4 linked regions of the Caenorhabditis elegans genome follow. The protein of the gene in region 1 purifies or fractionates together with the protein of each later gene. This does not show direct contact. Each region holds a gene or a part of one and is shown on either strand. Other genes may lie near its edges. The genes, in order: Y48G10A.1, pgm-2, T21H3.1 and agxt-1.

The links.
Region 2: the proteins of Y48G10A.1 (region 1) and pgm-2 fractionate together in Caenorhabditis elegans (co-fractionation; one large-scale study listed by BioGRID). This does not show direct contact.
Region 3: the proteins of Y48G10A.1 (region 1) and T21H3.1 fractionate together in Caenorhabditis elegans (co-fractionation; one large-scale study listed by BioGRID). This does not show direct contact.
Region 4: the proteins of Y48G10A.1 (region 1) and agxt-1 fractionate together in Caenorhabditis elegans (co-fractionation; one large-scale study listed by BioGRID). This does not show direct contact.

Annotation. Positions count from the first base shown.
Region 1 is NC_003279.8:13,486,477-13,492,772, reverse strand, and holds Y48G10A.1 (S-formylglutathione hydrolase), read right to left. Parts: upstream 3,187-6,296; 5' UTR 3,182-3,186; coding exon 3,114-3,181; intron 3,056-3,113; coding exon 2,691-3,055; intron 2,128-2,690; coding exon 1,718-2,127; 3' UTR 1,653-1,717; downstream 1-1,652. Other genes in the region: Protein soem-1, read left to right, coding at 1-186, 891-1,006; Y48G10A.2 (E3 ubiquitin-protein ligase UBR7), read left to right, coding at 5,405-5,408, 5,463-5,809.
Region 2 is NC_003281.10:13,294,838-13,303,260, forward strand, and holds pgm-2 (Phosphoglucomutase-2), read left to right. Parts: upstream 1-4,540; 5' UTR 4,541-4,541; coding exon 4,542-4,701; intron 4,702-5,379; coding exon 5,380-5,726; intron 5,727-5,792; coding exon 5,793-5,959; intron 5,960-6,016; coding exon 6,017-6,310; intron 6,311-6,378; coding exon 6,379-6,542; intron 6,543-7,139; coding exon 7,140-7,795; 3' UTR 7,796-7,923; downstream 7,924-8,423. Other genes in the region: npp-18 (Nucleoporin SEH1), read left to right, coding at 2,020-2,085, 2,141-2,251, 2,297-2,358, 2,410-2,477, 2,528-2,915, 3,503-3,759, 3,810-3,949; Kinesin-like protein klp-19, read right to left, coding at 8,184-8,423.
Region 3 is NC_003283.11:1,173,144-1,180,228, reverse strand, and holds T21H3.1 (Fungal lipase-type domain-containing protein), read right to left. Parts: upstream 3,506-7,085; 5' UTR 3,505-3,505; coding exon 3,133-3,504; intron 3,085-3,132; coding exon 2,959-3,084; intron 1,874-2,958; coding exon 1,526-1,873; intron 1,476-1,525; coding exon 1,404-1,475; 3' UTR 1,365-1,403; downstream 1-1,364. Other genes in the region: F25A2.1 (Fungal lipase-type domain-containing protein), read right to left, coding at 110-235, 280-600; ptr-16 (SSD domain-containing protein), read right to left, coding at 5,415-5,464, 5,518-5,641, 6,650-7,085.
Region 4 is NC_003280.10:8,842,426-8,850,809, reverse strand, and holds agxt-1 (Alanine--glyoxylate aminotransferase), read right to left. Parts: upstream 5,213-8,384; 5' UTR 5,171-5,212; intron 4,581-5,170; 5' UTR 4,488-4,580; coding exon 4,431-4,487; intron 3,750-4,430; coding exon 3,591-3,749; intron 3,525-3,590; coding exon 3,446-3,524; intron 3,399-3,445; coding exon 3,290-3,398; intron 3,247-3,289; coding exon 3,048-3,246; intron 2,864-3,047; coding exon 2,736-2,863; intron 2,686-2,735; coding exon 2,590-2,685; intron 2,545-2,589; coding exon 2,286-2,544; intron 2,228-2,285; coding exon 2,103-2,227; intron 2,053-2,102; coding exon 2,046-2,052; 3' UTR 1,908-2,045; downstream 1-1,907. Other genes in the region: oac-46 (Acyltransferase 3 domain-containing protein), read left to right, coding at 1-248, 380-635, 758-1,002, 1,323-1,589; F46C5.6 (Serine/threonine-protein phosphatase 4 regulatory subunit 4), read left to right, coding at 6,324-6,371, 6,562-6,707, 6,791-6,997, 7,044-7,105, 7,182-7,247, 7,427-7,500, 7,542-7,648, 7,773-7,880 and 2 more.

The sequences.
Region 1 (6,296 bases):
GCGACTCAGAAATCTACATGGAACAAAATATGAATAGAGTTGAAGCGGAAAAAAGGCTTGAAAATCGAAATTTGGGGGACTATTTGCTCAGATCACGTGGTGAGGGGAGTGCTGCTTTATCGTTACGGGCTACAAAAGGTGTTGTGCATATTAAAATTGAGTGGAATGGCGAGAAATGGGTTATTGGTGAGTTTTTATCGATTTTTTAACGAAAAACATTTGGAAAAAAACATTTTTTTTCGAATTTTTCAAAAAAAAAGTTTTTTTTTTTTGAAAAATTTGAGAAAATTTTTTAAACATTTTTTAAAGAATAACAATACAATATATATCACTTTTCATCATAATCCTTCAAATTTAGACTTCAAAATTCTGTAACTCTACGAAAAACCTAATATGTATACTCCAGTATACTTCCATATAATTATAGTTTGCACTGAGAGCTTCAACGGAAAATCAGATTTTGAAATGAAAAATTCGAAAAACTTGTAATCTACCTCAGAATTCAACCGTGAAATTTCAAAAATTTCAAAAAAATCATAGAATTTTGAAAAAAAAAAACGTCCAATTTTATTCGTCATAATTAATTAATTAATTAATGCATTAAAATGCCGAATAAAATTGGTTGAGGCTCTTACACTACAAACTACAATTTTTTGAAAATTGTTTTGACTATTTTAAAGGTACAGGAACATTTAAGAGGATTTTTTTATAAATTAGAAAAATTTTCAGAAAAAAAAATTTTTTTTTGGAAATTTTGAAAAAATAATTTTTTTTCAAAACATTTTTTTTTTCAGAATTTTTTTACAAAACTCTTTTTTTAAACCATATTCTCCAATATTTGGTCCAAAAAAAAACTAAAATGTCTCCTAAAAATTCCCCTATTCTTACAGGAGAAGGTCCCCTATTCCGATCGATAAGCTCTGCCATCTCATTCTACCGACGTCATCCACTTCCAATACGTGGCGCCGATCATTTGGTGTTGAAAAATCAATTAAAACCTGTTTAGCTTGCTTTATAAAAAGTCTCAAACAAATTTTGGAAAAATTACATTTTTCGAAAAAAAAAATTTTGTTTTGAATTTTTAAAAAATTTTCCAAAAAAATTTTTTTTGTATTAAAAATTTAATTTTCTTTCAAAATCCTTACTAATCAAACCCCGCCCACTTTTCTTGCTCCCGGGAGCCATTTCCCTCCAATTGAAACCTCGAAAATTCCGGTTTTCTCTCGCTTTTTCCTAAAAATTTTCTAGAAAATTCAAACTTGTAAATATATTTTTTATTTTATTTTGTGACGCTTTACGTGTATTTTTCCAAAAAAAACCGCAGCATTTGCCACTTTTTCTCAATTTTTAATTTGTTTTCTTGTTCTAATAAATATTTTTTGTTCATTAAAATTTTCTTACTAATAGTATTAATTTAGAATTAAAAAAATACACACAATATGAACAAAAAATAGAAAACATCAATTATTTTATCATTATCATCGTCCTCATTCCGTTTCCGAAGACTACACTGTACTGTGTTAAGACACTTAACCTGTCTGCGTCTAAAAATAATTTATTTATTACACGAATGTTGGGAGTTAAAATAACATAAGACCAATATTTAACTCGAACAAAATCTGAAATTTTTCTTGAAAAAGTGTAAAAACATTGAAATTTAAATAAATTTAAATAAGTGACGAAAATAAAATAAATATAAATAAATATATTTCCTCAATTAAATCTTATTCAAAATCTTTGCATGATGTTCGAAATGATCAGCCATGAAGCTTGCGATAAAATAATACGAATGATCGAATTCCGCTTGCATTCTGACCACAATCTCCGCGTTTTCCTTCGATTTCAGCGTTTCTGGTTTGAGTTGAGCCAGGAAATTGTCGGCCGCACCTTGATCGACGAGAATCTCGCGTTTCGGGCCGGAATAGGCTTTTAGTACTTCAGAAGCGTCATATTGATTCCACGTGGATTTGTCCTCGTCACCCAGGTATCCGGTTAGTGCTTTTTGGCCCCATGGAACGGTGATTGGGTTGCAAATTGGTGCAAATGCGGAAATTGATTGAAATTTCGATGAATTCCTGAGACCGATTGTTAGAGCTCCGTGGCCGCCCATTGAGTGACCGAAGATTCCTGAAAAATTGGTTTTTTTTTCAATTTGTGTGAAATTTGTGATTTTTTTTAAAAGTTTTTTTTTTGTAAAAATCATTAATAATTATTGAAAAATTGGAATTTTAGTTTAAAAACATGAATTTCAAGTAAATTTAGGTTGAAATTCACACTACAAACTACAAAATTTATCAGCCTCACCAAAAAAGTTCCGATTCTTGGTTGAGGCTATTAACTACAAACTACAAAATTCATTAGCCTCACCAAAAATGGTCGATTCTTGGTTGAGGCGCACACTACAAACTACAAAAATACATGAGCCTCACCAAAAAATTCCGGATTTTGGTTGAGGCTCACACTACAAACTACAAAAATTCATCAGCCTCAACCATGAAAATTGAAGTTTTTGAGCGAAAAAATAAGAATTTTAGTCGAAAAACTCCGAATTTGTTCAGTTTTTCGACATTTTTCATAGCACTGCGCCTGGCAAATTTGAGTGAGGCTTCCCAAGTTGTGTAGTTTGTAGTCTCTGAGCCTCAACCAACTTGAATCTGTCGATTTTCACAGAGAATTCTCGAATTTCTCACCAATTTTCGCCAAATCAATCGGCGCAACGGAGGGCACCACCTCTTCCAACAGCTCCTTCACAATATAATCGTACATTCGATAGTTTTTCGCCCATTTCTCGACAGTAGCATTCACATAAAATCCGGCTCCCTTTCCGAAATCCCAACTTTCCGAATCGCCGTCCACATCGACTCCACGTGGCGATGTATCCGGGTGAACAACGACGAGACGGTGCTTAGAGGCAAATTGCTGGAATCCCGACTTTTCCATGAAATTCGCGTGGGTGCAGGTGAGGCCGGAAAGGTAAAAAAGCGCTGGAAGCTTCTCGTCTGGCTTGTGATCCGGAATATACACTCCAAATGTCATTTCACATTGAGTTGTCGAGCTGAAAATAATTTAAATTTTTAAATTTATATATTTTTTCTCAATTTTTTTCATCAAACCTGGCATGTTTGTACACAAATTGCCGTCCTTTGAAGCTTCTATTGCTCGAAACCAAAGTGGCAGCCATTTTCTCTGAAAAATCGATATTTTTTGACTGTTCAAGAGACAAAATTGATAAGAAATTGTGGAAAATTGCCGAGTGAGGCGTCAGAGAAAAATACAGATTTTTGCGTATACTTCCTGAAAATAGAGGAAAAAAGCTTGAAATTAGTGGAAACGTTGAATTTCGATTTGTTTTTATCGGGAAAACACTAGAAATTCAGCGAAAATACGCTGAAATTCAATTAATTAAAATTAATTAAAATCAGTAAAAAGCAAACGCGCTCCATCGCCACGCGGTAGAGAGTGGAGACGTAGAGAACGATTTGCTAGATTTCGAATTTTTAATTTAATTCCCAAAGTTTTTCGTTGTTTTTCGTGTATTTTCCACAGAAAATCTAGGTTTTTTGTAATTTTCTACTATTAAATTTAACGATTTCTAATATTTCTCTAGTTTTAAACCCATCGCCGCACTTTTCCTGCGTAGAACTAAAAAGCAAAATTTTTTTTTTTTTTGGCTTTTTTTCGTCAATTTTCAGGTTTTTTGCGGTTTTTCTTTAACAAAATTGATTGTAAAACAGCTTTTTAGCCTAATTAACTCTATTTTCGGCAAAAAACTATTTTTCGCGAAATTAAAGAGGGGGTACGTTTTCGTAAGGGGATTTTTTCGTAAGGAACGCTTTCAGTAGGGCAATGTGCGGCGCGCCTTTTCGCAAGCCCGCCGCACAGTCCTTCGCAATGCGCCGCACGGCTTTTTGCAATGCGCCGCACGCTTCTTCGTATTTATTTATTTATTTTTCCAACAGGAAATTTCGAACGGAATTCAATTAAAAACGGATTTTTAATGGAAATTAAATAGTTTTATTCGAGCTAAATACGGATATTTTCAGAATTTTCGATGACAAAAACGGGTTTCAATCGATTTCGAATCGATCAAAATTAATATTAATCGAAAATGAGCGTTTCCTTCCCGGAAAAAAGAAGAACTTGATGCTGAGAGTGATCCAAGCGGAGCCAAACGCTTTTTTAGAGGCAAGTATTATTGATGTCTAAAGATTAATTGAAGAGTGAAAAGTATTTTTCAGCGTTCACAAACAACCCGAGTGAGCAGCAATTTTCCAAGCTGAAGGCAAGTTTCTTTTTGTAGTTTTTTAAGTTCTCAAATAGGTATATAACATCGATTTGTTTTGTTTTCCAGAGAATGTATCATCACAACGACTATCAAAACCTGCGAGGAGTGATTCAAAAGACCATTCAACTATCAAAATCATTGATCCTAGACTTGAAGAGACGATCCGGAAATCGAACAACCGCTGTGCCATTATACAAAAACCCCGATTTCTGTACTTCAGTGTTTTTGAATTATACCGGTTTCAGTGCTTTTAATGAGAAACTTTTCCCTTTTATGGAAATTCCGAAATGCTATCACTGATCTCTTTGTTTACCTCTGTGCCATTGGATTATAGAAACAATTTTCCATACTCAGGTTATCCAAATTTCGCCATGATTTTTCTTACTTAATTTAATCGAATTAACTTTTGTTTGCAGTTTTATTTTCCATTTCGACTGAATAAAAAATCACTTCTATCATTTTAATCGTTTGGCTCCGCCTGGATCACTCTCAGCATCAAGTTCTTCTTTTTCCGGGAAGGAAACGCTCATTTTCGATTAATATTAATTTTGATCGATTCGAAATCGATTGAAACCCGTTTTTGTCATCGAAAATTCTGAAAATATCCGTATTTAGCTCGAATAAAACTAATTAATTTCCATTAAAAATCCGTTTTTAATTGAATTCCGTTCGAAATTTCCTGTTGGAAAAATAAATAAATACGAAGAAGCGTGCGGCGCATTGCAAAAAGCCGTGCGGCGCATTGCGAAGGACTGTGCGGCGGGCTTGCGAAAAGGCGCGCCGCACATTACCCTACTGAAAGCGTTCCTTACGAAAAAATCCCCTTACGAAAACGTACCCCCTCAAATTAAAAAAAAAATAGTGCAAACGCGCTCCATTGGCACGCGCGAGAGAGTGAAGACGCAGAGAACGGCTTGCTAAGTTTAAAATTTTCGAATTAATTAATTTTCCCATTTTTTCTTGTTTTTCCGCCGATTTTCAGAGTTTTTCTTGGTTTTTTCCCGATAAAATCGACTTTAAAAATTATTTTCAGCGTTTTTATTCAATTTTTACCTAAAAATCTCACGAAAAATGTAGTTTCAGGAAATAATCGATCAACTAACGGATCAAATTTGTACAATGAGTAAGTTTTTCCGATGAAAAATGATAAAATTAATATGAAATTCACGATTTTCAGTGCGAAACTCTCACACAATCGAGAATTTCGAGCGAATGCCGGACGGCGAAACGTCGAGTCTGCCGGATATCACAAATTATCAAGAAAGTGTGGACGAAAATCCCGTTGAAGAGTGCTCGGCGTACTCGGATACCATCGCAACGTGCTCAATGTGCTTGCAAGTGGCTCCGCACAGCCAATTCTTCGCGTGCACCTATCCGGGATGCGGTTACGCGTTGAAGCAGAAGGAATCCGTCAAGTCTCCGACACTTTTCTACAGAAAAGAGAGAGTTTTGTGTGGAGCGTGTGCTTTTCTTGGAGATCATGCTCATCACAAGGCCTATTTGCTTAAGGCCGATAAGCTCGCGGTACGGGCTTTTTTCCGAATTTTCAAAAAATCATATAAAATCTAGAGAAATTTTTTGAATATTTTAATCATGATATTCGGTCATTGTGACCCCATATGCGTGTTTTAAAGCAATTTCCCCACAGAGTGGAGTACACCTTTAAAGGAGGACTAACGGTTCGGACGATTTTGAACGTATAGACTCAAAATGAGCTCAAATAAACGAATTTCGTAATGATACTGCTCAAAAATTTTTCAAAAATTTTTTATGGGGGTTCAAAATTTTGATAAAATTACACTGATTTTAGCTAAAATCACGATTTTTTCCCATTTTTCCGTGTCACGTCCATCCGAAGTTAGCTTTTTTTGGAATTATCGTACTTTATTGCATATATTGGTATTTTATCTCATTTAATTTCGTCGATTAAAGTACATTCAAAGCCGATAGGTAACCAATTTCGATGATTTTTGGTTACCTATCGCCGATAAATGTACTTTAATCGACGAAA
Region 2 (8,423 bases), on another chromosome or scaffold:
TAAACAACATTTTCCTCCTTTAAAATAGGCAGAATCGAGGGCTGGTGGAAAACTATTCGTCGATTTCCTACTCAGCATACCGTCCAGTATGCGACTGATTTCTTTCTGGAAAAAGTATATGTTTTATTGATTCCACGATTTATTATTTACGTTGCTCTTGAGAAGTTCAACAACTTCATATCTTTTTGAAAGTGTAACAGCAAGCTCATAAAGGCGTTCTTTTGATGGTGAAGAAGACATTGATGAAACTGCGATTTTTCTCATAATTAATTGCACCTAAAATATAAATTTAGTTTTGAAAAACGTAAATTTCAGTATACTGCAATTTCGCTTCTCCTCGATTCGTGATCACAATCACGACTGACTTTCACATGGCCTGTCTCAGTCTTGATACGCACGGATCCGGGGCACTTTCTCGAGTTTTCCAGTGTAACGTTACATCTGAAATAAATTAATGAAATGTGTGACAAAAAATAAAATTTTTTCCTAGCGATAATTCACCTAGCCACAATGTCCCCATTTTTCAGTGTTTCTCTCGGACGATAGCTTTGATTGTTGAAAATGACCAATGGAGCTCCTCGTTTCGTCGAAATACTGAAATTGCATAGTTTCTATGTTTAATTGTTTTAGAAGTTAGAAGGCATACCAAAAATCTGAACTATTCTCGCTGATATATTCCGGTGCCATTTCAAGCACCCTCTTGGGCTATTGGCAATCGGTCTATAGTGCATCAGAGAACGTAACACGTGTGACTTGCTGGAATTTTATATTTTGATAGAGTTATTGATTAATAACAACCTATTTGTCAAAAACCAATCCGGATGGTATGGAGTCTCTTCGTCTTCAAACGGAGATTGATATGAATTGTGACCTAAAAATACAACGTCTGTTATTTCTATTTAATTATTAGTTAAGACCTACACAGAAGATTGAATTCACTGGTTTCCTGTAGATCGTGATCCATTTCTTCGGGAAATACAGCTGGATCAAAATCAAAAAATCTTTCAGTATTTGCCATGGAATCTGTTGTATCCAAGCTTGTTTCCTGAGTAGAATTGGCTATTGAATCGCATTCCGGGATATCGTCAGTGGATCTCGGCTCATCGAGCTCTCGAGAATTTGAAGGAAACTGCATATACGAATCAGACCGACGTGGTGATGCAGGTGGAGTAACCAGATCGATTGTTGCAGGAGTCGATTCACATACATTTGTAGTAGACGCTTTCGGATTTCTTTTCTTCTTTAGATCCCTGTCGAACGCTGAAAAATACTTTTCACTCTTCAATTAATCTTTAGACATCAATACTTGCCTCTAAAAAAGCGTTTGGCTCCGCTTGGATCACTCTCAGCATCAAGTTCTTCTTTTTCCGGGAAGGAAATGCTCATTTTCGATTAATATTAATTTTGATCGATTCGAAATCGATTGCAACCCGTTTTTGTCATCGAAAATTCTGAAAATATCCGTATTTAGCTCGAATAAAACTAATTAATTTCCATTAAAAATCCGTTTTTAATTGAATTCCGTTCGAAATTTCCTGTTGGAAAAAGAAATAAATAAATACGAAGAAGCGTGCGGCGCATTGCAAAAAGCCGTGCGGCGCATTGCGAAGGACTGTGCGGCGGGCTTGCGAAAAGGCGCGCAGCACATTGCCCTACTGAAAGCGTTCCTTACGAAAAAATCCCCTTACGAAAACGTACCCCCTCGATTAGAATAGAACAGTTTAGCAATTTCTAACAATTAATTAAACAAAATTTGGATGAAAAGTCTTTAAAATGTATCAATTCATTGTGCCGCAATTAATTTAGGCCAACATTAAATTTAAAAATTTTACATTTACCGCATCTTCTCGTTTGTCCGAGAGGACTACACCACTCGCTCCTAGCGAGACCTTCCACCGGCGAAAGTGCCTGCGCCTTTAAATTTTGAATCTATTTTTTTGTTTCTACGCAACGATTTTTCTTCTTTTTCTCTTATTTTTCTCTAATATTCACTATAAATATTTATTAATTTTCAGAAAAATGCAAGAAGACGACTCGGTGAAACCTTTTCAGACCGTCGGCGCTCACAGAGATCTCATTCATTGTGTATGTTGGCTTGATTTCGAAAAATTAGATAAAAACTGAAGATTTTTATTTCCAGGTTTCATTCGATCCTCATGGCCGACGAATGGCAACATGTGCCAGCGATATGACAATGGCGATTTGGGATCGAAAGCCAGACGGAAATTGGCGTAGATCTGCACACTGGAAGGTAGAAAAGAAATTTCAGAAAATAAAATAATTTTCCTCATTTCAGTGTCATGGTGGAGCAGTTTGGCGCGTTATTTGGGCTCATCCGGAATTTGGGCAGATTGTTGCGTAAGAAACTAGAAACTGTCACCCGAATATACTTTATTGATTGATTTTCAGCACCTGCTCCTACGACAGAACGATTGTAATTTGGGAGGAGCAAATTGTGAGATCAGAGAAAGATCTGAGTGAGTATAATTCGCTCTAAATATAATCCAAAACATTATGTATCTCTCAGAGCAAAAAGAATCCCAATGGATCCGAAGAACAATCATCTCCGATAATCGTTCAGACGTCACCGATATCTGCTTCTCCCCGCGCCATCTGGGTCTCATGATGGCATCATGCAACGTTCTCGGAACCGTCAGAATCTACGAAGCACCGGATATTGTGGACGCTTCTCGATGGAATCTTATTCACGAGCTTCAAGCGTTTCATACCCGATGTGGATGTGTCACATGGTCACTTTCTCGTATGCACCGCCCGTTGATTGCTGTTGGTTCGGATGAGAAGAAGGCAGAGAACAAGAAACGAGTTGTGATCTATGAGAATATTGATGGATTGAGGAAATGGCAGCGAATCAACTCATTAGTCTTCGATCTACCATGCCCGATTACTGATTTGAAGTAGGAAGAACACGCTCTCCTCGGAGCCGAATAATTATTACAGCGCGCTTGCCTTTCCATTGAAAATAGCAGATTTTTCAGTATTAAAAAATCCGCTCTTTGAATAATTTTTTGTCTAGAAATTCCAAAAAATAATCGAATTTTCTAAAATCCGATATTTATCGGATTTGTGTCTAAAAATTTCAAAAACAATCGTATTTTCTTGAAAAATCCGCAATTTTATCAATTTTTTGCCTGAAAATTTTAAAAATAATTGAAATGTTCTGAAAATTCCGCTATTTTAACAAAATTCAAAAAATATTTAAAATTTTCTTGAAAAATCCGCTATTTTAACAATTTTTTGTCTAAAAATTCCAACAAAAAAAATTGAATTTTCTGGAAAAGTCCGCAGTTTTATCAATTTTTTGTCTGAAAATTCCAAAAATTATTGGAATTTTCTTGAAAAATTCGCTATTTTAATAATTTTTGTCTAAAAATTTCAAAAAAAATCGAATTTTCTTGAAAAATCCGCTATTTTATCAATTTTTTGTCTGAAAATTTCAAAAAAAAATTTCCGCTATTTTAACTATAATATTTAAAATGTTCAGATTCTCGCCGATATCGATGGTGGATTCGCATCAATTAGCCGTTGCATCAGGCGATGTTCACGTCTACAACATCAAAGTGGCTCGTTCGGCGATTCTCGAAGAAGACGGTGTCGAGAATCCGATTCAGCTGGCGGATTACAATCTGATCAAGGTGGCACTGCTCGGGGATCATCGAAAAGCATGGAGGCTTCGATATAATCTCATGGGATCAGTCATCTCGTCGACGAGCTTGGATGGAACACTGAGATCCTGGAAATGTTGGGAAAAAATCAAAAAGAGTCAAAAATGAAATAAAATTGATTTTCAGCACTCTTCGTGAACCAATGGGTAAAGCTGAGTGAGATGAATGTCGACGACTACGTTCCATCGCCTGAAGAAGTTCGCGCCTTCATCTCATCGAAAACTACCGAACGTCTTCCATCACAACTCGAGAAAACCTATTTCTAACGATATTTTTCTCTATTTTTTCTCGCCGATCATTTTTTTTCCGAATGATTTCTTATCAAAGCGTGTATTATTATTTGTTATCATCATCTGAAAACTGAAAACCGAGAACATTATCACCGATTTTTTTTTGATGTTTAAGTATTTTATCAATCTTCTGTTTAATTTTCAGATTTTTCATGCTGATCGGTTTCTGCAAGAATTAAACATTCCACTTATCTAACTTATGTAATTTTCAACGGTTTTTGTGCCTAGAAATATTTTTTGGACGTTTTTGTTAATTCTTTTTGCATTCAACATTCACCTAAATTCGAAAATTAAATATTTACTGAAACCCGATACTGTCTTTTTCACAGTTTCCACAATACCTCCATCAATTATTGTTGATTTTATCTCTTTTCCAAATCTAGGGATAGTGGGTTACTCGCAGAGAAATAGAGAAACGGCAAGGTCATTTACCTGGCCTTTTCTCATCCACACATGTCGGAATAATTGTGGTATTAGTGTCCTTATCTGCAAAATTTCGATTTTTTAAAACTTTTGTTGTCTTTTCCACAATTTTATTGCAAAATTTAAGCACTTTCTAATTTTCAGAATGACTCTTGGATGTGCAAAGCTTGACAAGCAAGTTGCCGATTGGCTCGCTTGGGATAAGAATGATAAGAATCGTAATGAAATTCAAAAGCTGGTTGATGAGAAGAACGTTGATGCATTGAAAGCTCGTATGGATACTCGATTGGTTTTTGGAACTGCTGGTGAGAAGAAAATAATATTACACAGCTGCAGTGTGTAAACGGTGGAAGAAACGCAGCTATATTGGGACAAAGGGAGGAAGACCCGAAATTGTGTAGATTTACAGAGTGTGAATCTTCATTATTACGGGAATGCATATTGCGCAACTTATTTGACGCGCAAAATATCTCATAGCGAAAGCTACAATAATTCTTTTAATGGCTACTGTAGTCAATTTTCGAAACAATCTGTATCTGTCGCTATTCGAAAAACATTTATTCTCGAAAACCGAGCCCACACGTGGAGTCAGAAAGTCCCATTTCGCTTTGATCTACAAAAAATGCGGGAGAAGAGACGCAGAGTTCTTAGCCGAATTCGCATGGTTAAGAGCGTGCTGGCGCCACATTTTTCTGGTAAAAAATTCCCGCATTTTTTGTAGATCAAGCTATATTGGGACAGCCAGACACCAAGTGAGCCCATAAATCTACACAAGCGCTACACTAGTTTAAAGAATTACTGTAGTTTTCGCTACGAGATATTTTGCGCAATGCGCATTCTCAAAGATTTGTGTTCCCGTATCACACGGTCCCCACATCTCTGCGTCTCTCCACTGTCTACACTCTGAAGAAGCTGGGTGATATTAACAGGAGAACAGTAGAGATTCAAAAGTACAGCTCAAAATATAAACGTATTTTTTCCAGGTGTCCGTTCTCCAATGCAAGCTGGATTTGGACGCCTCAACGATCTTACAATCATCCAAATCACGCACGGATTCGCTCGACACATGCTGAACGTCTATGGACAACCGAAGAACGGAGTCGCCATCGGATTTGATGGACGTTACAACAGTCGACGTTTCGCAGAGCTCTCGGCGAACGTCTTTGTTCGTAACAATATTCCAGTTTATCTTTTCTCTGAAGTCTCTCCAACTCCTGTTGTCTCGTGGGCAACGATTAAGCTGGGATGTGATGCTGGACTTATTATTACTGCATCACATAATCCAAAGGAAGACAATGGATATAAGGCGTACTGGAGCAATGGAGCTCAGGTAAATAGATCAATATTTAAGATTTAATTCTTTTTAAGATTAAAAAAGAAAAGGTTTTTTTTGCAGATCATTGGACCACATGACACGGAAATTGTTAGAATCAAAGAGGCCGAGCCACAGCCGAGAGATGAGTACTGGGACTTGAGTGAACTCAAATCTTCGCCACTTTTCCATTCAGCTGATGTTGTAATTGACCCGTATTTTGAAGTTGAGAAATCGTTGAACTTCACTAGGTTTGTAGAAATTTTAAAAAATCGTTTAAAAAAAGGTAAATCCAATAATATTTTCAGAGAAATCAATGGCTCAACTCCGCTGAAATTCACGTATTCCGCGTTCCATGGAATCGGCTATCACTACACAAAACGAATGTTCGCCGAATTTGGATTCCCAGCTTCATCGTTCATTTCGGTGGCCGAGCAACAAGATCCAAACCCAGATTTTCCAACAATTCCATTCCCAAATCCAGAAGAAGGACGAAAAGTGCTCACGCTGGCGATGGAAACTGCCGATAAAAATGGATCGACAGTTATTTTAGCCAACGATCCAGACGCCGACAGAATTCAAATGGCCGAGAAGCAGAAAGAGTAAGTTTTTTGAATTTCCAAAATATATATTTTAAAAAATTTTATTTTCAAAAAAATTCAATTTTCAGCGGCGAATGGCGTGTGTTCACTGGTAATGAGATGGGCGCTCTCATCACTTGGTGGATTTGGACAAACTGGAGAAAAGCGAATCCGAATGCTGATGCATCAAAAGTATACATTCTGAATAGTGCTGTGTCCTCACAAATTGTCAAGACAATTGCTGATGCAGAAGGTGAAATTTAATTTCGAAAGAGAAAAATTTGCTTTTTGATGAAAAAGATACAATTTTTTCAAAAAAATGCTGAAATTAAACCGTGCGGCAATGTTGCAAAACCGCGTACCGCGGAATTGCGTGTCCGCGGCACGCCATTTCGCAATTTCGCCGCATGGTTTTAGTTTTTTCCTAATTTTTAAAAACAATCTTGCAAGATTTTGATAAATACGAAAAAGAAGCCGAGTTTTTTTTTTGAAAAACATTGAAAAACGAAAATTTTCGATTTTCCGGAAAATCTAATTATATTTTTTAAAAATCAGAAAATTAACAATAATATTCGAATTTTTATCCAAGTTTTGTAAATTTTGATGAAAAACTACATAAAGAAACCTACAATTTTCTTTTAAAACTTTTTTTAAAAATCGAGAATCGAAAGAAAAACTTTCGTTTTTCGATTTTAGTTGAAAAAAAAATTCGAATTTTTTTCGTTCTACCGACTAAAAATCAACATTTTTGAAGAATTTTAAGTAATTTTTGCCAAAAAAAAAGCAGCAGCCCTGTTTAGAATATAAAATATTAAAATTACAATTAACAAAAAAAAACTATAAAATTCAGGCTTCAAAAACGAGACCACCCTGACCGGATTCAAATGGATGGGAAATCGAGCCGAGGAGCTCCGTGCCGATGGAAATCAGGTCATTCTGGCGTGGGAAGAATCGATCGGATACATGCCAGGGCATACCATGGACAAGGACGGCGTGTCCGCTGCCGCAGTTTTCGCCGAAATCGCCGCTTTCCTTCACGCGGAGGGAAAATCGTTGCAAGACCAGCTGTACGCTCTCTACAATCGATATGGCTTCCATTTGGTCAGATCCACTTATTGGATGGTACCGGCTCCGGAGGTCACCAAGAAGCTCTTCAGCACATTGAGAGCCGATCTGAAGTTCCCGACGAAAATCGGAGAAGCCGAAGTGGCATCCGTGAGAGACTTGACGATCGGATACGACAACTCAAAGCCCGACAATAAGCCCGTTCTTCCACTCTCGACTTCCTCGGAAATGGTGACTTTCTTCCTTAAAACTGGAAGTGTCACTACTCTCCGAGCATCTGGTACTGAGCCAAAAATCAAGTACTATATTGAACTCATCACTGCTCCGGGAAAAACGCAGAATGATCTGGAAAGTGTGATTTCTGAGATGGATCAACTCGAGAAGGATGTCGTCGCTACACTTTTGAGACCACAGCAATTTGGACTGATTCCAAGAAAATAAAAATTTTTGTCTTGAATAAGAATCAAAAAATGTTTATAAATCTATTTGCATTCCGATATATTGTAGTCTTCTTCTATTGTGATAATTAATTTTTCAATTTATTTCCCCAATAAATTACTGAACGTTCTAAAAGCTGTACGCAAAACCAAACGAAGACATTAAAGTGTGTAAACTTTCAATTTTATTGAAGCATTTTGAGAAAAAATGGATAAGAAAAATGCCTAATAGGTTTACTTAATTTAAAATCATCTATTTAAGACAGAATGGGGGGTCAAACGACACAATTTAGTACCCGAATACTATTATTCACAGTAAAAGTTAATTAATCATTAGTTGACAGGAGGAGGCATTGGTGTGTTAAATATTTTTCACACACAAAACTTGGAATTTAGAGCGGTCCAAGATCCGTTCGACGACTCTTTCGCTTGATGGGAGGAACACCGTCTGCTTCCGACGTTGGAGCTGCACCGATCACGAATGTTGAGTTGGAAGGAGACGGTTGCGAATCGTCCAACACAATAGTGGCAGAATTGAACGAATCTTTGACGAAGGTGGCATTGTTCATTGCCTCGTTTTCAATGTCTTCATCTTCTTCTGTTAGACGGGTATCATCGTCACATTTGATTGG
Region 3 (7,085 bases), on another chromosome or scaffold:
ACTCTTGCGTGTTTATCAGGAGTGTCCGGCAAATTTGGAAAATTTGCCGCACTCCCCAGGTGTAAATTTCCCGTTATTCTCGGAAATCGAACGTGCGAGGCTAACGAACCCAAACTTGATAACTTGGGTATCTAGACATCAGACTGATGACGTCATCTTTCATTCCAGAAGTCCATATTTTGAAAAACGCATCGCTGAAGTATTCGGAGACGTGCCCACCGGAAACCCAGGATTTCTGAAAATTTGACCTAGACAGAGCTTTTGCATAAACTAACTTACATTGTTTGCAAACACAGTTTCTACGGCTTCAACGAGCAGCTGTGCGTTACGATTAGTTCCACGAAAAGCTACCAAAATCGCCTGACTTTCGTGATCGACTCCAGTAAATCCAGAACATGTATCATCAAGTGTGTCGCAAGCTACAGTAATCTGAGGTTTGACTTGAAAATTTTGAAACGCCAAGCTCATGCAACTTTGTGGAGGAGAAGCGTACGCGGAGATGGCTGCATAGATCAGTTTATTCCGAGAGAGCTGATCGGAATATGGTATTGAACTGTGGGAGAATGATTTGCAAATTAAAACGGAGAAAATAAAAAGCATTTTGAATGTCAAATACATTAAATACAATTGTAATTGAAAATTTGCAAACTTAAATAGCTCTGTGAAAAGTGAAAAAAGTTCTGGTTGCAAGTGTGACTTTGTTGTTTGATTTTGGGATTACTGTTGCTCCGAGGCAATTTGTCATTTAACTTTGCTTGGAAATATGACGAACATCACGTCATCTTCAGATTGCTGTCACATTTGTTATCAAGGGAATTACTAGCTATTTATGCTCCGACGCCTGCCTCAAACCTGTACGGAAAAGGGGTGTGCGGCAAATCTCAAAACTTGCCGTGCTCGCCAAATTTTGCAAATCTCTTCTTCCAATATTTGCCGAGCACGGCAAATTCGGCAAATTTGCCGTGCTTAATTAACTCCGAAAATTTGATATTTTTTGATGTTTTTTGGAGCACCGAAACTACTGAATTCTGAATAAAAATCTGGTGTCTGAATAACTTCCGTGTAGTGTGTCTGCTTAAGCATCAAAATAACAACTCAATTTTATGCCATTTTACTAAATTTTTGGGGACAAAATCAATAGTTTTGGCCAAAATTGTATTGTTAAAAAATTTTTGATGTGTGCGGAAAATTTCGAAATTTATCGTGCTCGGCAAATTCGGCAAATCTACTGTTTTGAAATTTGCCGAGCTCGGCGAATTCGGTAAATTCGGCAAATTTGCCGCACATTCCTGGTGCGGACCTCTGCGAACATATGGGAGGCAGGCGCGTAGGCAGGCCCACCACTTCAACTCTGAACCACTGAATCAGTTGTGAACTATTTTATTGTTTAAAACATTGAAAAGTTAGTTCTTGACATTAGCACAATTTGAGTAGCCCAAGTCGCTGACATCAACGTCGAAGTAGTGAAGATGATCCTAAAAAAATAAAAGTATTGGTGAAGTAAAGAACTTTGGACGATTTATACCTTGATAGAAGTGTCTGGAAGAACTTGTCCGTTGGAGCAGAATTCGCTCTCATCGATATCATCGCAAATGTTGTACTTCGTCATTTTCTCCTTGTAGAACACCTCGGCCTTGTGGTGGGTGAATCCTTGCATGTTCTCCTTTGGAAGATGTGGCACCGGGTCGTGGGCGTGGGTGACGCGGAACTTGTTCGTGACGTCACGATCGACGGCGGCCGCGTAGGCCTTGTCTCCGACACGTGGCTGTCCGTAGGTGACGAGTTGAAGCTTCGAGGCGTCGAAGAGCTTGTTGTAGGTGATGTAGGAGGCGGCAAGGGAGGCCATCGCTCCTCCGAGGGAGTGTCCGGTGACCTGAAGTTTTGTAAGTACACGACTTTCCCACGCGTTGTCCGGCGGGCGGTTGTCAATGGAGCGCGAAAAATTCAATGAGGAAGGCCAGAATCCCATGATTTTGAGCCTTGGGAGACGAAAATAAATTTGCAACGGACAATGTTCGAGACCGCGTTTTCTTATGTGGACCACCTTGGGTGCTACACTAAACAGTATTCCGGGAAATGATAGGACTACTTTCAAGAAACCATTGTCACCACGGGATCATCACATGGATCCACAAGGATCTTTTATCCACTGGTTGGGTCCTGCTCATGCGCCAACAAGAATGACACGTGGAGTCAGAAAGTCCCATTTTGCTTTGATCTTCAAAAAATGCGGGAGAGGAGACGCAAACATCTCATCGGATTCCGCATGTTCAAGAGCGTGCTGATGTCACAATTTTTCTGGGAAAAATTCCCGCATTTTTTGTAGATCAAAGCGCAATGAGACAGCCTGACACCACGTGGAATGGGTTTTAAGTTTCTATAACATTTTTGTGGTTCGAGGTTGACCACTGACATTCCCGCGTTTCTGATCTGGACTTCTTATTTTATTTTAAAAAAAAATTTAACGAAGCATTATTGTTACACCTATCAGGCATCAAGGCTTGCGCGACGTACTGTGTAGCTGCACTGCAGCCCACGTGGTGTCAGAGTGTCTCATATCGGCTTGTTCTACGTAGATCTACAGAAAATGCGGGAGAAGAGACGCAGAGTTCTCAACTGATTTCGAATGGTTAAGAACGTGTCGATGTCACATTTTTCTGGGCGAAAATTTCCCGCATTTTTTGTAGATCAAACCCTAATGAGACAGCCTGGGACCACGTGCAGCCGACTTCGATCGAGATCTCAACCAACCCAGCTCATGTCGTCTGCGTCTTCCTGGGGGGTATACTCACTTATATCACAAGTGTAGGAATACACTGTAGAAATGCAACAACCACTTGCTTCATGAACTCGCAAAGTATATTTTGCTAGACTACGATAGCTGTCAACAACACGGGAGCACAGTCTACTTTAACCCCATCAATAATCATTTTCTTATCAGTTTTTACGAATTCTTACCCAAACTTGGAATCCTGGGTTTTGGGCGGCAAGAGTGTTAAAATCGTCCTTGAGTCCGGCGTTCCAGATGTTCAAAAATCCGTCGTTGAAGTACTGGGAGACGACACCTCCAGCAGCCCATGGAGTCTGAAACATGCTTCATTTATTCCGGAGTACTCGAAATTTTAATCTTACGTGATACTCGAAGACAGTCTCCAATCCTTCCAAAATAAGCTGCACATTGTTGTTAGTTCCACGGAACACCACAATAATCGCCTTGTCCTGTGGACTGACGGCGGTGTATCCGACGCATTTGTCGGCTGGGTTGACGTCACAGCGAGCCGTAATGATTCTCCTGATTGAGGCACCGGTGAACGCTTTGTCGAGGCACTGTTGTGGATTCGATCCGTAGGCGGCGCCGGCTGCGAAGAGAATCTTCTTGCGAGCAGTGGCGTCGTTGTATGGGATGGTATAGACGTCGAGGTTCTCTGGATTTTTTGGGGCTTCTGGTAGCACAAAGGCCGAAGCCAGTGGCAGAAGGACTGCAGCAAGCAGTAAGGCTTGCATACTGAAAGAATAATTTAAAGTTAACAAATGAGATGGAAGTTGGAAAATCGTTTTAAAACGTGACACATCTTATTCAGAAACACGTGACGTCACCGAAGTGAAGCCTGTGTGACGTCACTTCGAAACTTAATTTGCCGCAAATTTCGAATTAACATTTAAAACATGATTACTGGGAGAAAAGGTGGGAAAATGACGATACTCTGCTATTCGATTTCTCTTTATTAACTTTCCGTTTTCTTATCACCAATTCCGTTTCAAATATCACACAACCTATAAAAAAGTCGTTGATATGAATGATACCGCTTAACTTGTGCTCTTTTATCAAATTTTCAATCGAACCGGATTACGCAAGTAGTTTAAATGGTCGTTTGATTCCTCGAACCACAAACTAACACTGTAGGAGATGAACAAAGTTCTTGATACTTGAATGTTCAGTGGTGTTAAAAAAAATTCTACACGGGGTTCTGGCCTTCCTCGTTGAATTTTTTGCGCTCCATTGACAATCGCCAACGCGTGGGAATTCCTGTACTCCACACGGACAAATGCATTTAGTTTCACAACTAAAATCGAGCCGCGACACGCAACGCGCCGTAAATCTACCCAAGATATGGCCGAGCCAAAATGGCCTAGTTCGGCAATTTCTTCCATTTCAATTTATGAGGGAAGCCGAAAATCCGTGAATTCTACCTGAAAAATCAAATAATCAAATTTCCGAATGAAATGTTTTTGAAAGGCTGATATTTGATTTGATCAGCAAACTTTAAGAAAATTAAATTTCCAAAAAATGTTGTCAAGCCAACTTTATCCCCGCTTACCTTAAAATTGGAGTTGCACAGGTGGGTTTTTTTTAAATTCTAAATGATAGAATACAGTCTCAATATAACAAATATAACTGTCAAAAAATGTATAAAAATTTTTTAAATTTTTAATGATTTTTTTAAAATTCGAACAGGAAATATAATTTTTTTTTTGAATTCCCGCGCAAGTGAATGACGTCATTTTTTGACACTTTTTGGGAATATTGACTGCTTTTTCTTTACTTTTTCTTTGTTTCATAATTTGACGCATAATTTGTCAAAATTTTCAGACATTTTTCCCAAAAAAACACGTTTTTTTAATGCTAAATTATTGATTTTAGGCCAATTTTGGAGTTTCAGCAAATTTTTTTCATTTGCTGCGCCGAAAAATGTCTGAAAAACATTGTAAAAAATATTGAAAAATTTTTGAAAAATATTGAAAAAATCAAATTTATTGCCCAAAAATGCAAAAATGCCAAAAATGACGTCATTCATTTGTGCGGGAATTCAAAAATAATTCAGCTCTTTTTTTCAAAATTTATAAAATCATGAAAAAATTAGAAATTTTTTGTAAATTTTTTTCATAGTTTTAATTGATATATTAAGACTGTTTTTCGACCATTTAGGGCAAAATTAGCGCAAACGCTACCCATGGCGTCAGGCTGTCCCATCAGGGTTTGATCTACAAAAATGCGGGATTTTTTGCCCAGGAAAATGTGACGTCAGCATACTCTCAACCATGCGAAATCAGTTGAAAAATCTCCGTCTCTTCTCCCGCATTTTTCGTAGATCAAACTAAAATGGGACACTTTGACACCACGTGACGCTAGTCAACCTTTAAAGACAAATCTTCAACAAATTTTATTTTCATCAGTAAGTCACCTGAAGATTGATTTTTTGTGAGTTTTTATTCAGAAAATTTTTAGTTTTTTCTGCAATGACAACTGATTTGCAAATTCTTTTTAACTAATTTATCACAAAAGAAAACTGGGAATGAGACAGACGTCAATGAAGTCGAGCACCCGTAGTTGAGACTTGATAGGAAAACAATGTGGAGAAAAAAAACAACACTAATAAATTACAATTTTGGATCACAATTTTTTTTGGCACATATTAACCGGATCCCCGTTCCTGTGGTAAGGTTCTCAGTTCTGTTGAGTTGCCTGTAAAAATTGTAATTTTTAAATCGAATTCATGTATTACTTTTGACTCTTACTTTTGACTAGAGCTGTCTCACTGTTTCCACTTGAAAAACTGGAAGCCTGTGAAATTTCTCCGAGTTTTTCAGGTTTTTCCGGCTGTATTGAGTCGCCACCAAATAAACGAGATAAGTCGCCAGACTGAAAAAAAAGGTTATAGTCTGACAGTTGATATCTCGATTCAAATCAGTTATTCGAGTAAATTTCAATCGAGAGTTTTTTGATAATTTCTCAAATTTTTCAAAAGATTATAGATAACTCAAAAACCAGAAATGCTATCAAAATATGTTTAACTAATTAAAAAAAATCACGACAAAAATAAAGCGCCAGGAATCTTGTGAGTCCATTCTGGACGATTGGAACTAATGGGCCAGAGGTGAGCAATCGCCTTTTTCCGGCAAGTCGGCAAGTCGGTAAGTTGCCGGAATTGAAACTTCCGGCGATTCGACAAACCGGCAAATAGGCATAGTTTCAGGTGTTGCCGTCTTATATAAATTCTCTCTAAAAACTTCCGGCAAGTTTATGTTCGGCAAACGGCAAATCGGCAAATTGTTGGAAAATTGGCAAATCGGCAATTTGCTGATTTGCCGAATTAGTCGACAAAAAAATTGACGAACGACAATTGTCACCAACCCCTGAATACACTAACTCAATAACCAGATGATTAATCGAAATTTGATAAAAATCCAATATAGTGTTTGGCAAATTTGCCGATTTTGCCGTTTGCCGAATTCGGCAAAAAATGGACAATTCAATTTTTACTAAAACTAATAATTTTGTTCCAAAAAATCTGAACTCACAAGATGTCGGCCGCTTTATTTTTTGCCACATCTTCTGTGAATAATTCAAACACGCAAAACCATAGTGTCAGTTGAACATTCTTTGATAGCAGACGTGTTCGGCAAATTTTTAGATTTGCCGCACACACGTGGTGTCAGAAAGTCTCATCGCGGTTTGATCTACAAAAAATGTGACGTCAGCACACTCTTAACCATGCGAAACCAGATGAGATGTCTGCGTCTCTTCTCCCGCATTTTTCGTAGATCAAAGCGAAATGGGACTTTCTTACTCGACGTGCGCGTAAGTCGACTTGCGACCTACCTCTATAGGTTACAGGACGCCCTAAAATTTTTTCAGGCAATAACTTACGGTAAGCAATAACGCCGGCAAAAATATAATTCCATGAAGCAACCCAAGTACAGTAACCAGAAGAATCGTTTTCACAAACACCCAAACCATATAACTCGTGTTGAACATCAATGGGAAAATGCATAACACTGTCGAGCTTGCGGCCTGAATCATTGGCCATCCGATAGATTTCAGTGCATCGGCAAGGCGCTCATCAGTGGTCCAACTGGTGGGGTTCCGGTAGTAGTGATAGGAGATGTGCGCTGTAAAGTCCACCGAGAATCCGATAGACATTAATGTGGTGCACATCGTGATCGGATCCAAATTCACTCTCCACATTGACAAAAGACCGAAGACTCCAATATTGATGGATATCATTGCAATGGTACTTGTTAGGATTGAGTTGATGCCAGGGATCATGAGAAGGCATGCAAGATCCATTGTAATTGCAGCCCAG
Region 4 (8,384 bases), on another chromosome or scaffold:
CAGCATACTTGTACACACTTCTTGCTGTAACTCTTCGTATTTCTGTAACACATTTCCATCCAATGTGGCCACCAACTGATCCAGCTATTCAATGCCCAAAATATTGGTGGCAAAATGTTCTCTTCGTGAATAGTATTCTCGATAATCAATGTATGCCATGGACATGGTACATCGGAACTGAATTCATTTATTATTTGCTCTCTCCAATATTCCTTCTCACATTAAGGAAAGCGCCAAAGATCGGATTTGTGAGTTTTCTTTTTTTACAGAAGATATCTTTTCAAGCTTTGATAGTATGTTTCGTGAAGCTTGACTATTAGTTTAACATTTCGTAAAACCAAATGTTTGTATCTACAACTTTTCATAAACACTTCTTCAGATTTTGTGCTTCGTCGTAATTATGTTCTCAGCCGGTTTGAATGTAGAATCCATCGTTCGCAACAACTTCCCGCCAACCCAATTCCTTTGGAAGCAACCGGAAATGTTCAATCCAAATTTTATTCAACACCATCTTGAACTCTACATCAAACCACAATATCGCATTGGACCATATCTTATTGGAATTCTTCTTGGTTATCAATTGGCTAGATATCAACGAATTCCTGTGAAACCACAGCAAAGCAACAAATATATCAGTGAGTTTGAATTTATTTTTAGCTGTTAAAACAAATGTTCATCTTTCATGAACCAATATATTTTTTTAAATTAAAAACTAATTATTTTATTTTAAAAAAATTCTAAGCCTTCTTAATTCCAGTTTCAATGTGGTCAGTGGCACTTGTGGGAATCCTTTTCGGTTTGTACGGTCTCTACCCAGCTCTTCAAGGATGGGATTCAATTGCCTGGAGAGCATATCACTTGCTCTATGGAGCACTCCATCGTGACATTTTCTCAATTGGTATTGCATTCCTTATCTACATCTGTCATACTGGAATTGGTGGACCTGTCAATGTCTTCCTCTCCTCCAATTTCTTCTTACCATTGGCCAACTTGAGTTTCTCGGTTAGTTTTCAAATTTCTAATGTTAAAATAGGATTACTCTCATTCTTAAACTTCAAATTAAATCTTTCATAGAACCTTACTTCCTTGTATCACTACAATGTTTACGTTTAATTATTTTATTTTGATAGAATAGGAAGTGTTTTAATGTTTTGTTTTGATGAAGAGAAATACTTGGTTATTAGAAAAACCAAATTATTTTACAGTTTATTCAACCTGAAATCTTTCAAATTACAAGTACCACTTTGACAAATGAATGAAAATATGTGCTTCGAAAATTGAAAAGGCAAAATATTGGCTTTATAAAAATAAAATATTTTCAGGCCTACTTGTTCCACATGATTCCAGTGGTACTCACTTACATGCTCGTTCCCTTCCCAATATATTTCAATACTCAAATTCCACTCTTCATTCATTGTTTTGTTCAACTTCTCATTACATATTTCTTTGCCATAATATGCACAATGGTCAGTGAACTTCCAGCTCTGAATATCGAAAGGTTATTGCTTGCCTCTCCACCAAAAACTACACTCAAACCGAGTCCACCAACAGATTCGGAAATTCAATTAAAGCCTTCCGATAAGGCTTAATTTCTAATTGTTTTAATTTTTGACTCAAAAATTCATTTTCATCAGGCACGGGACATTTGAGGTAAATAGTGGGTGATCATTTCCTTGTCAACCCGAATTCATTACGAGTAGTCTCATTCATTTCTTAAATTGTTTCATTTCATTCCGCCATTCACTTTTTCATTTGTTAGCTCCTCTTTCATTTGCTTTACATTTCTTTTAGATTAGTTGAAATTTTTCTGTTCTTCTTTCTTGATGGTCTTTCAGTAATTGATTATTCCCCCGGTCATCGACTGTTTTTCCTTCGCTTCTTCTATTTTTATCATGTAAATAGAAATTCTTGTTTTTTGTTCATTCAAATTAAAACCCATAAAAACATTAAATAAATTTAAAATGTTCATACAAAACGCATACGAAATTACAATAAATCATAAATTAGCATGAAATCACAAATTGATGGATCTACGACTGATGGATCTACTTGCTGAAAATATAAATAATTTGATAAGGAAACGGATCAATTAAATTTTTGACCTTTTCTCTCCAATTGATTTCGACAAAAGTTCCACAACATTTTCGATTTTTGTCGAATTCGAGTTAATTCCAAACGTTCCGATTCTCCAGATTTTACCAACAGTTGCACCAAGTCCTCCAGCAATCTAAAATTAAAACAAGTTACGGTTTTCAAACTTCAAATTGGTGGATTTTCGAATTTACCTCCGTTCCATTTGTCATCATTTTTCCAGCAACATCTTTCCAGTCAACACCCTCCGGTACTTTCACAGTAGTCAAACATGGCAATCTCAATTTCTCATCCACTACAAATGGTTCCAATCCATGCTTTTTCAGAGTAGCATACAACACTTGAGCATTATCTTTATGTCTTTGGATTGATTCATCAATTCCTTCTTTTGCAATTGCAGAAAGTGCTGCACGAAGAGCATATACAGTGGAGATTGGAGCAGTGTGGTGATATCTGAAATTTTTCAATAAATTTCATCATTTCATAGTTTTTTCCAACCTTTTCAATTCTCCATCACAACCCCAATAGTTGCCCAATTCGATGGCATCAAAGTAGAACGAGGCGACGCGTTGTTTTCGGTTCCGGATTTTTTCCCTAAAAATGAAGAGGAATGCAACTATATGTGTTTTGTTTCTTATTCTTACATGGCTCGATCGGAGAATGAGATAGGCGCAAGTCCTGGTGGAGCGTTGAGAACTTTCTGGGTTGCCGAATAGACACAATCAACTTTCAGATCATCTGCTGCAAATGGAGTTCCACCGAGGGACGCCACCTGAAAATGAAAACTTTGATCATTAAACATCTATTTTCAATTTTGAGACTCGTTCGGCAAATTTCAATTTTACTACATTAAAAAACACCTTAAACTTTTCAGAAACAAAACCGTTAATTTTTGAAACATTGTAAGATTTATAAATAAATGGTGAGGATCGAGAAAGTTAAAAAAAACCACAAACCGTATCAACAAGGAACAGAGCACCATGCTCTCTGCAAGCATCTCCAATTGTTTCCAATGGTTGAGCAACTCCCGTTGAACTATCTCCCTGACAGACAAAAACCAAATTTGGTTTGTAATCAGCAATTGCCTTTCTGATATCCTCAACTGGAACTGCTTGCCCCTGCGGAGCAGTAATCTTCTTAACTTCGATTCCCATTCTATCAATTTTTAATTTGTAACAAGAATATTGATTTTAAAAACCTATTAGCCAAATCAGCAGCTCTTTGTCCCCAAAGTCCAATTTCTACTACAAGGAATTTGTCCCCGGGCTCGAGAAGATTAACCATCGCGCATTCCATTCCAGAATGACCTGAATATTAGATTTGATATTGAGAAAGTTGATATATGCACACTAACCAGTTCCACTGACAGCAAACGTATACTTATTGTCGGTTTTGAAGACATACTGAAGACCCAGACGAACATCTGCCATAATCTGAAATTAAAGCTTTATGAATTAGTTTTCGATTTACTATTTTTCCAACAAAACATAAAAAGATACCTGAACAAATTCTGGATGCAAGTGTCCTAACAAATTGCGAGATTGGGTCTCAGCAATCGAATCAGCCATGTTCGATGGTCCTGGTCCAAAAAGTTGCCGCGGTGGGACAACCATATCTTGCAGAAGAGCTTTTGGTGGAGCACGAGACGACATTGATGACTGGAAAAAAAGTAAAATACATAAATACTCGAAGAACATGGTAATCGATTTGGAAGTGATAATTTGAGAATATAATAACTAAAAGGTCGTTCAACACGTGGTTCTCAAAACAAATGTTATTAAAAACAAAACATTAACGAAAAACTGATCTTAAATTTAACTAAAATGTTTTCCATTTCGCAGTACTGACATGGAACTAATATGAAATGCGCTCTATTTGCATGTAGAATGGAGTAGAGACACAGAGAAACCAATTGGTCAAGAGGAGATTGAACGGTGTGTCCAAATGGTCAAGAATTGGTTTGATGTCTAGGGGAGAAGGGTTGAAGGGTCGAATGCCAAACGGCATACTAGATGGTTAGAAATTTTCCATAAATCAAAGTGGGTTTTTTTTTCACCAAATACTGTAAAAATCAAGTACATGATTTTAGAGTTTGAACTCGAAAGACATAATTTTCATGCTGTTAGATAATTTTTTTTAAGGAAAAAACCTTCAAAAACTTTTTTTAATGAACAATGGCATATAAATATAAAATAATTGCAGTAACTAAAAAGATTGTATCAATGAACAGTTTCATCAATGATAACACATATGTTGATGTATGATGACAATAAACTCTCAGAGGCGGTTCCAATTTGTGTACTCAATAAACCTATTATTTTTGAACCAATTGAACTCACCTTAATTCCAAATCCAAAAATCGAGACTGAAGGTCTTAGAAATCGCGTTGAAATCATATCTTCGAAATTAAATCAATTGAGGAAGAATATTGAGGTAGAGAAGAAAACTTGAGGAGGTTGTCCTGCAGGCGGCAAATATCTCTGTGACTCCTCAAAGTACATTGTTCTTTCATTTTCACTGACTGACTGACTGACTGAGGGGCTATTTTATCACAATGTATAAATGACCAGTCGATGGTATAAATGATAACGAGAAGACACCCAGAGATCGGTCAATTTTTAGAGAAGAGTTCAAAGAAACACTTGAAAGTGCACTGGGGAAAACCTCGTGGTTATTTTATAGTTTATGGAAATTGAGTGGAAAACAACACTTTTTTGCAATTTGGTTTGAGCATAATTTTTATGGATAGTTCATTGGCACATTTCCGTTAATCTAGAAAATAACGTTTCAAGATTTAGGAGATCATCCGAAAAAAACTAGTGGAATTTTTTAAATACACAGTTTAAAAATCAGTTAAAATTTTAATAAAGTGCGAACAATAAGCTATAATGGGAACTAAAGTGGTCTAATCAATGACGTGGAATTAGTCAGATGGCTACAAAAAAACATTAAAACATTTTTCAAAATTGTCTACCAAATAATGAAACTAGAAAATTTAAGGACTACCAACTTATCTTACTCAAAACAATACAAATCGAGAAAGATTACCAACTTCAAGAGAGTTTAATTTGAACTTTACCTCGAACAACGAGCAGATCCAGAGAAGTTTAGACTTCGGAATAAATTTTTTTTCTAGTTTCATTTCCATGAAAATAGCATTTCACGTCTACAGAAATTGATACGATGAATAAATTTAGAAATTAATATTTAAAAGTTCATTGGTTTGTGTTAACTTTGGAAAAATAATAAAGCTTTGAGATATTAACTTCTGAACATTTTCAAATTTAGCTTCTACATCTTATTCCTTGAATTTCGCCTAGCTTCGTCTGAAATCTCCTCACATTTTTCTTTACCCAAATCTATAAATGAGTTTTTCAGCCAATTCACTTGTATGCCTGGAGATACCTTGAGAATTCGGAAAGTACTGATTCGTGAAGAACACTTTCCAGATCACACGAGTTTATTGCACATTTTGAAATGTTTTGAACAATTGCACATTTTATTGATAAAAATAAGAAAACTGCTCAGGTTTTTCGAAATCGAGTTGGATTCAATTACAGGTCAACTCAAATTTGTGATGTCTCGTGATCTTTGAAGCTCTCCGGTTTCAGTGTCTGTTTTTGCTGTGAACACTATCTTTCTCTATCTTTTTTTTCTTCAGCTTCATCCTTTGAGCTTTTTCGTCTTCATTTCTTCATCTCCTCCCTCGCTTTTAACTTCTCACACTGGATCACAAGCGTGCCCTTCGATCCCGATCCTCTTGGCCGAATATCTTTACACACCGACTTGATGTCTGCGTCTCACCAATCATTTTGAATGTTTCGAGAGGATAGAGATAGTTGCTCATCGCCCGGGAGTCACAGCTGCCTCTTCCTGCTTCTCCTCCACCTCCTCTACATTCCAAAGCAAAAAGAGTTTGTATTATTGAAGAATCATGTTGTTTCTGCATCATTCTAGATCACTCGTCATATCTAACCACACTTTCAAACTTTCTTGCCCAACGCAAACCATTTTGAAAATGTGTTTCATTTGTTTGCCGAACAAAAATGCATCTAAAGAGCTGCCCCTACCTCTTGATGGATCATGCGAAAAAAAGGCGGGACGTTCAAACTGTTGACTCTTTTCTTTTTTCGTTTATCTTATCTCTCTCTCGTGTTGCTCTTTGTCTCATCTTATTGTAAATTGATTTTCGAAAAATTTCAGATATTCTAATCACATTTTCCAACATTTCAATGGTCGCTGCCACAGAAATGGATGGAGAATCTATAGTTGATATTAAAGTAAGGCATAATTGTAATGATAAAAAACGAGATTTAGAAATTTAAGTTTTTGATTGTGAAAATGAGTAATGAGTAATGAAATTAGGCATTGGAAAATATACTAAATTTTTGCAGTAGTTGCCTACTTAAAACGGCTTTCACACCAAAATTTCTTCAGAAAAGATTTTATAGAATTCGTTTTGTTTTCCAGCATGATCAAATTGAAGATGACGAGACAGAAGAAAAAGAACCTCCTGTAATGAAGTTGGATTTCGAAAAACTATTCAAAATGGCAGAAGATCCAGATCTTGAGGAATTGCTAAGATCACCATTGGATCAGGCTCTAATCAATTTAGAGTAAGATTTATTAATTAAAAAATCAAAATTGATTTTTCGACATTTTGTAAAAAAGGAAATCGTTCATACCATAAAATTTTCAGAGACGGAACTGAAATTCAAAAGCTCACATCAATTCGCACATTTCCTGACATTCTGGACACCTCCGACGGAGAAAAGTGCCTTCTAAAAATGCTACCAGCAATTCAAAAATGTTTGAAAATTGAAAAATCAAACCTAGACCTTCACTGTGAAGCTGCAGTTGTCTATAAGTCAATTATTCAAAATGAGGACCTCGTGAAAAAATTTCAGTGAGTATTAAAACATTCCACTACTTTAAAATAACAAGCTTTCTAGGGGAATCGTTGATCTTCTACTCGAGAATATTCTTCAAAATATTCAAAATCAAAAAGAGCATCGTAAGTATTTTCCAAGTATCGTATGTACATGTTTTTCCACCTTTCCCCTTCTATCCTCTATCCTAACCATTTCCAGACACTCAGGAAAAGGAAAAAATTGTTATAAAAGCTGGCAGTAGCATCAACAATCAAATGCATCATTGTATGTATTCTCAACTAACAATTTATTTGTTTTTAATAATACCTTTACCTTTTTACCTAATACTCTTTTGAATTACCATTTTAGACATTGACAAAACTATAAAAATTATAACATTAACAACTAAAAAAAACTTGCGCACTAAATAAATTATGTGTAAATTTTAAATTCATATTTTTCAGTGAGTGCCGCTGCTTGGTTAGAAACAATTGTTGAAGTTGCAGACAAATTGTCACTAAGCTCAATCAAATTATATGTAAGCATAAATATTAGATATCCCCTTCATTTAATTTTCAGGTGGTTCCTGTAATTCAAACACAAGCAGAACCTGTTCAGAGGGTACAAAGACGAATTATTGCCACTAAGATTATTCACAAGTTGGCATTGTTTTTACCTCCGAACGAGTGAGTTTGTTATTTGAAATTGTTTCATTTCGCTCTCATAATAGTCCTAACCTACCGGCTTTCTAAAATATATTTAACTTACAAAAAATGTAACTAGGCAATGAACGAATTAAAACATTTTAAGAATAAGAAAAGAACTGTGCCCAATTGTTACCACCTTGTGCAAAGATGCCAATTCAAATGTGAGAGTAGCAGTTGCTCAACGACTTTTTGTCATTGCAAATGCTCTTAAGTAAGTTGTTGGGGTTTTTTGTTTTAGTGTAAAATCATTTAACTTTCAGAAACTCGCACGATGTTGTGTCCTGTCTTTTGCCTTCATATGTACATTTATTAAATGATGAAGAAATGAATGTGAGAGAAGCTGCAATGAATAGTTTGACTGATGCATTCTCCTTGTTCACAAGAGGTTTTGTCAGAAAATAATCATTTCAATTATAATTCAAATTCAAATTCAGATGCACGAAAGCACACACTCTTCTCTGTTATCAAAAAGTTAACCGAAGAGGCGCTTGAGAAAAAGAATGAAGGTCTCGCAGTGATATCGAACAACTTTGGAAAATGGTCATGGGAGCTCAATGAGCTTCTCGATCAACTTGACAAATCATGGGTTCTGAATACATACTGCAAAATGGTGCAAATATCAGACGAACTATGTGAAGGCCCACAAAAGAATATTCGTAACGTATTGAAGAAGACGTGTTGTTTCAATTATCCATGTATGCTGACTATGTTCAAA